2 linked regions of the Saccharomyces cerevisiae S288C genome follow. Changing the gene in region 1 together with any one later gene gives a genetic interaction. Each region holds a gene or a part of one and is shown in the gene's direction. Other genes may lie near its edges.

Region 1 (3,757 bases):
CGCTTCCCACATCGTCCCGTACAGCGTTCCATGATGATATTATACCACTTCTTTATTGTTTCTTTTTTTTCTTGAGCAGAAAGTGAAAAAAAAAAAACCAGACCCTTTACCACGTGACCGATTTTGACAACATGAATATGAATATAGTATACACATATATAGAGATACAAGCGAGGGAACGGGGCCCTTTAGTACACTGGTGAGGCGGTCAGTCTCCCAGAGGATCCACAGGCATCGCACATAGACCACTCCAACGCCTTTACAACGCACACGTAACAGTAGTTCGCACGACAACAAGCGATCTGGTATGGGTTGGTTGGAAAACCGCCGCAACGGGGGCAAACTGTCTTATAAGTAGTCGTAGAACGAGACCTTGGTGGTTTTTTAACAAAGGTCAAGAGTCCTCTTTTCGTAAGTAGTGTATTGGAAAAGAGTTCTAATAGTGCATTCCATAGCAATTGTCTATTCTGGTATTCTAACCCAGCGAATACAGAGTTCGAATAAAATTCAGAGGCAATTGCAGAACCATCCCGAATCAACCTTGTGGAATGGACATTAAAAGCCCGGTATAACGGCGACAAAAACGCCCTCGCATTGGGCCCTTCCGCTGCTAGAAACCTCAGGAAGTTGGTTACATCACAGCCGTGATACAATAAATTAACCCATTTGTACAGCTTCAGCCACATCATCTGGTTCCCACAGTGCGGCCCATTAAAAATAATATGTGTGATCTTCTTCCACACGTACCCTGCCAAGACAGTGACGACATACAAGGTGCGTTTCCTGCACTGAAAAACCACGCCACTGAGTGCGGATCCATACGTACAGCTAGAGCCATAGTGTGGCAGGAACCTCGTCGCGCACATAAACACAACTGTGTTCAGTGCCAACTCCCATTCCTCTTTGTGTTCACTCGTATTGAATGCTGCATTGAACTCGGACCAAAACTGTCCATACAATTCTTTATCAAGCGCTATCGAGTCGAGCTGTGCAACTCGAGACATGCTGCGTTGCCTTTAGATTACGTCTTCTCAGTTATCTCGGCAATCTCTCCTCGTTATGCTTTCCCTCCGTCTTCACTCATCCCTTATAATGCGTTTCCCAGCAACCTTATCGATAGAATGGAGGGGAAATCGCATCCGTTCCACTCCTCGGATCGATACTAACTTCCGAGACGTTGCATCAAAGGCCAAGACATGGCATTAGTCACCCTTGTTGCAACGATAGACGCATACTACGGACCCCTCAAACCTCCCTACCTGCCCGTCGCTATCGCATTAATTTTCTTTTTTTCCACTATTTTTCCGGCCCGCCACACCTCCGACTACAAGACGCCACATCTACGTTTTGTCACACAAAATCCAGGACAATAGCCGTCTGCAAGGCACCAAGGTTTTCAGCAGTTGCTTGTTGCTGCTGCCTGTTAATCACATCAAACCCACTGCAAGGGCAGTCGATGGGTCTGTAAACGCCTTAGCAATCGTTGTTGAAGAAAGAGAGCTCTTATCATCATGGGGTGCCCATCATTTTTCTTTTTTTTTCAAATTTTGGGCTATTCAATGAATTGTTTCGACTATATATGGACAATCATCGGAAGCTGTGTATTCTTGGTAAAAAGTTTTCGACTGTGTGGCAGAAAATAACCGCAACAATTATATAACGTCACAGAACACATGAGTACCATTTATAGGGAGAGCGACTCGTTGGAGTCGGAGCCCTCGCCAACGCCAACAACCATTCCTATCCAGATCAATATGGAAGAGGAAAAGAAAGATGCTTTCGTTAAGAATATTGACGAGGACGTCAATAATCTCACTGCGACTACTGATGAGGAGGACCGCGATCCGGAAAGCCAAAAATTCGACAGGCATTCCATACAGGAGGAAGGTCTCGTTTGGAAGGGCGACCCTACATACTTGCCCAATTCTCCATATCCTGAAGTGAGATCGGCGGTGTCCATCGAGGATGACCCCACCATCCGCCTCAACCACTGGAGAACGTGGTTCTTGACCACGGTGTTTGTGGTAGTTTTCGCCGGTGTTAATCAATTTTTTTCCCTGAGATATCCATCGCTAGAGATCAACTTCCTTGTTGCACAAGTTGTTTGCTACCCAATTGGTAGGATACTGGCTCTCTTGCCCGACTGGAAGTGTTCTAAAGTGCCATTTTTCGATTTAAACCCGGGCCCATTTACCAAAAAGGAACACGCCGTGGTCACAATTGCCGTGGCGCTTACTTCCTCTACTGCATACGCTATGTACATTTTGAACGCCCAGGGAAGCTTTTACAACATGAAACTTAATGTCGGATATCAGTTCTTGTTGGTTTGGACATCTCAAATGATTGGTTATGGTGCTGCAGGTCTTACCAGAAGATGGGTCGTCAACCCTGCAAGCTCTATCTGGCCTCAGACTTTAATTTCAGTGTCCTTGTTTGATTCGTTGCACTCGAGAAAAGTTGAAAAGACAGTCGCAAATGGTTGGACGATGCCCCGTTACAGGTTCTTCTTAATCGTCCTTATCGGATCGTTCATCTGGTATTGGGTACCTGGATTCCTCTTTACCGGTCTGTCCTATTTCAACGTTATCCTATGGGGGTCGAAGACAAGACACAATTTCATCGCTAACACAATCTTTGGTACTCAAAGTGGTCTCGGTGCGTTGCCAATTACATTTGACTACACCCAGGTTTCCCAAGCCATGTCCGGCTCTGTTTTCGCCACACCATTCTACGTCTCCGCCAACACCTATGCATCAGTGTTGATATTCTTCGTCATAGTGCTGCCATGTCTTTATTTTACGAATACCTGGTATGCCAAATACATGCCCGTCATTTCAGGTTCTACTTATGACAACACTCAAAACAAATACAACGTAACAAAGATTCTTAACGAGGATTATTCCATTAATCTTGAGAAATATAAGGAATACTCACCGGTATTCGTTCCATTTTCCTATCTTTTGTCGTATGCTTTAAATTTTGCCGCTGTTATCGCCGTTTTTGTCCACTGCATCTTATACCACGGTAAAGATATTGTCGCCAAGTTTAAAGACCGTAAAAATGGTGGCACTGACATTCACATGAGAATCTACTCCAAGAACTATAAGGATTGTCCCGATTGGTGGTATTTACTTTTGCAGATTGTCATGATCGGTTTAGGATTTGTAGCAGTGTGCTGTTTCGATACTAAGTTCCCAGCTTGGGCATTTGTTATTGCAATATTAATTTCCCTTGTAAATTTCATCCCGCAAGGTATCTTGGAAGCAATGACTAACCAACACGTAGGTTTGAATATTATCACAGAATTGATCTGCGGTTATATGCTGCCTTTAAGACCAATGGCAAACTTATTATTCAAGCTATACGGATTTATTGTCATGAGACAAGGCTTGAATTTGAGTAGAGATTTGAAATTAGCCATGTACATGAAGGTTTCCCCTCGTTTGATCTTTGCCGTTCAAATCTATGCCACTATCATATCAGGCATGGTTAACGTTGGTGTCCAGGAATGGATGATGCATAATATCGATGGCTTATGTACCACCGATCAACCAAATGGCTTCACTTGTGCTAATGGTCGCACGGTTTTCAATGCTTCCATTATCTGGTCTTTGCCAAAGTATCTTTTCTCATCAGGGCGCATTTATAATCCGCTGATGTGGTTCTTCTTGATTGGTTTGCTATTCCCACTAGCCGTTTATGCTGTTCAATGGAAATTCCCTAAATTTAAATTTGCTAAGCACATTCATACTCCTGT
Region 2 (3,757 bases), on another chromosome or scaffold:
TATGGCCGGAGTTAACGCCGGTCCGGCCGAAAGGTGTTCAATACCCTATCGTATGACGAGCAATGCCGTTATGACTAGTGGACATGCTTGGCATGGTCTATTACTCAAGATTTTCTGTATCCTTCTTACGTGTGAATTTCCACGAGTTGACAACTTTTGAACCCCTTCGGTTCGTTACTATTGGAGTTTTACTGCCCATCATAAATTTCGCCGGCCTATAAAAGACTAAGGGAAAAAGGAAGAATTGCTGGGTTTGAATTCAAGCATAAAACAATCAAGGCCTTCGTAAATCAAGGGAAAACACTTGTCAGTGCAAAAGAAAATAAAAAGAGACAAACAATCATAAACATGGTCAAAGTCGCAATTCTTGGCGCTTCTGGTGGCGTGGGACAACCGCTATCATTACTGCTAAAATTAAGCCCTTACGTTTCCGAGCTGGCGTTGTACGATATCCGAGCTGCGGAAGGCATTGGTAAGGATTTATCTCACATCAACACCAACTCAAGTTGTGTCGGTTATGATAAGGATAGTATTGAGAACACCTTGTCAAATGCTCAGGTGGTGCTAATACCGGCTGGTGTTCCCAGAAAGCCCGGTTTAACTAGAGATGATTTGTTCAAGATGAACGCCGGTATTGTCAAAAGCCTGGTAACCGCTGTTGGAAAGTTCGCACCAAATGCGAGGATTTTAGTCATTTCAAACCCTGTAAACAGTTTGGTCCCTATTGCTGTGGAAACTTTGAAGAAAATGGGTAAGTTCAAACCTGGAAACGTTATGGGTGTGACGAACCTTGACCTGGTACGTGCAGAAACCTTTTTGGTAGATTATTTGATGCTAAAAAACCCCAAAATTGGACAAGAACAAGACAAAACTACAATGCACAGAAAGGTCACTGTTATTGGGGGTCATTCAGGGGAAACCATTATCCCAATAATCACCGACAAATCGCTGGTATTTCAACTTGATAAGCAGTACGAGCACTTCATTCATAGGGTCCAGTTCGGAGGTGATGAAATTGTCAAAGCTAAACAGGGCGCCGGTTCCGCCACGTTGTCCATGGCGTTCGCGGGGGCCAAGTTTGCTGAAGAAGTTTTGAGGAGCTTCCATAATGAGAAACCAGAAACGGAGTCACTTTCCGCATTCGTTTATTTACCAGGCTTAAAAAACGGTAAGAAAGCGCAGCAATTAGTTGGCGACAACTCTATTGAGTATTTTTCCTTGCCAATTGTTTTGAGAAATGGTAGCGTAGTATCCATCGATACCAGTGTTCTGGAAAAACTGTCTCCGAGAGAGGAACAACTCGTTAATACTGCGGTCAAAGAGCTACGCAAGAATATTGAAAAAGGCAAGAGTTTCATCCTAGACTCTTCCAAGCTATGAGCTACTTCAATTTTTATATTTTTCTTAACTCTATACTCCTTTGTATCTTGACTCATATCGTTGTATAATGTTTCGCTTACTATGATATTTTATACTCAAGTAAATTGAAGGAAAGGAAACCATATCCTCCTAGTGGCTGCGCTGCACTACGCCGCTATGACCAATTCCGCTATGACCAGTTTACCTTTACCACACTCACTCCACGATGTTTTAAGCGTTCCTTGTCAAATATGCACCATCTCGTGATTTTTCAAAGATTGGTAAAGGAACATGAAAAAAAAAAAGCGGGGGGGTGGGGAAAATAGAGTTGATTCTGCAAAAGAGAAAGACAAAGGCCGCCCCTGGGAGCAAAGTCGTCCGATGAGGAACTAACCAGGGGCAGCATTATCCGTTAGGATCTACCGGAGAGCTGTTCCAGCGGCGGATCTGAGAAAGATTGGTTCTCCTTTTGTCGCTATATCTTGCAACTTAAATAAGCATTCTCTAAAAAATACTGGTGCTATAAGAACCCTGCTGCATACAAGTATTTCCGTTTCTACCATACTGCGGGGAAGGGACTTGAAAATAATCTCAAGATTGAAGAGGTGAAAATTGTAAAATAGTCTACTATGACCGATGTGTTGAGAAGCCTAGTGCGAAAGATTTCCTTCAATAACTCAGATAACCTTCAGCTAAAACACAAGACATCTATACAGAGTAATACTGCCCTAGAAAAGAAGAAGAGAAAGCCTGATACAATCAAAAAGGTAAGCGACGTTCAAGTTCACCATACTGTACCTAATTTCAATAACAGTTCAGAGTACATCAACGACATAGAGAATCTTATAATATCTAAACTGATAGACGGGGGAAAGGAGGGTATTGCAGTTGATCACATTGAACACGCCAATATCTCGGACAGTAAAACAGATGGAAAAGTTGCCAATAAGCACGAAAATATTAGTAGCAAGCTTAGTAAAGAGAAGGTTGAGAAAATGATTAATTTTGATTATAGGTATATTAAAACCAAGGAAAGGACTAGTATGTATAATTATTTTTTATTTTTTTTTTTTATGTTCTTGCCAGTGGAGGAATGTTTCTTTCGTCACAACCGGAGTGAATAGTGGAACTACTGTCAGTTCATAGTATCGCGACACAAAAAAAAATAATTAAAAGAAAAAAAAAGAGAGTGTAAAATAAAGATTTATGAAATTGCATCCCTAATCTTAGAAACTTGCTTACGAAATATCAGGAAGCATAGCGGAACATTTTTCCATATTACATCAACTACCATTTTTTATGGGAATCACATTATATACTAACATAGGTTTAGTTCATAAACGGGTTTATAAACATGACCGCAAAACTGATGTCGACCGAAAAAATCATGGAGGAACTATCGACATCAGTTATCCTACGACAGAAGTGGTTGGCCATGGTTCATTTGGTGTTGTAGTCACGACTGTAATAATTGAGACCAATCAAAAAGTTGCCATAAAGAAAGTACTACAAGATAGAAGATATAAAAATAGGGAGCTCGAAACTATGAAGATGTTGTGCCATCCAAATACTGTGGGTCTACAGTACTACTTTTACGAAAAGGACGAAGAAGATGAAGTATACCTCAATCTGGTTTTGGACTACATGCCTCAGTCGTTATACCAAAGGCTTCGTCATTTTGTTAATTTGAAAATGCAGATGCCGCGTGTTGAAATTAAATTCTATGCATACCAACTATTCAAAGCTTTAAACTATTTGCATAACGTTCCTCGAATCTGTCACAGAGATATAAAACCGCAAAACCTACTGGTGGATCCGACAACTTTTTCTTTCAAGATTTGCGATTTTGGCAGTGCCAAATGCTTGAAACCGGATCAGCCTAATGTGTCTTACATCTGTTCAAGGTACTATAGGGCTCCCGAACTCATGTTTGGTGCCACTAATTACTCAAACCAGGTCGACGTGTGGTCAAGCGCTTGTGTCATTGCTGAGTTGCTTTTGGGCAAGCCCTTGTTCTCTGGTGAAAGCGGTATAGATCAGTTGGTGGAAATTATTAAGATAATGGGCATACCCACAAAGGATGAAATTTCAGGAATGAACCCAAATTATGAAGACCATGTTTTCCCCAATATCAAGCCCATTACTTTGGCTGAAATATTCAAAGCCGAAGATCCCGATACTCTTGACTTGTTAACAAAAACTCTGAAGTATCACCCTTGCGAAAGATTGGTACCTCTACAATGTCTATTATCAAGCTATTTTGACGAAACCAAACGTTGTGATACCGACACTTACGTAAAAGCACAAAACCTGCGTATATTTGACTTCGACGTGGAAACTGAGTTGGGCCATGTTCCACTTGTGGAACGGCCCGCCATTGAAGAACGGTTGAAACATT

What was found.
Region 2: of OPT1 (region 1) and MRK1, extra expression of one rescues a mutant of the other (dosage rescue), as found in Saccharomyces cerevisiae (one study listed by BioGRID).

Annotation. Positions count from the first base shown.
Region 1 is NC_001142.9:34,166-37,922, reverse strand, and holds the start of OPT1 (oligopeptide transporter OPT1), read left to right. Parts: upstream 1-1,673; coding exon 1,674-3,757. Other genes in the region: PEX2 (ubiquitin-protein ligase peroxin 2), read right to left, coding at 189-1,004. UniProt on the Saccharomyces cerevisiae protein: High affinity transporter for glutathione. Also transports tetra- and pentapeptides like the opioids leucine enkephalin (Tyr-Gly-Gly-Phe-Leu) and methionine enkephalin (Tyr-Gly-Gly_Phe-Met) across the cell membrane.
Region 2 is NC_001136.10:312,980-316,736, reverse strand, and holds the start of MRK1 (putative serine/threonine protein kinase MRK1), read left to right. Parts: upstream 1-1,988; coding exon 1,989-2,400; intron 2,401-2,692; coding exon 2,693-3,757. Other genes in the region: malate dehydrogenase MDH3, read left to right, coding at 349-1,380.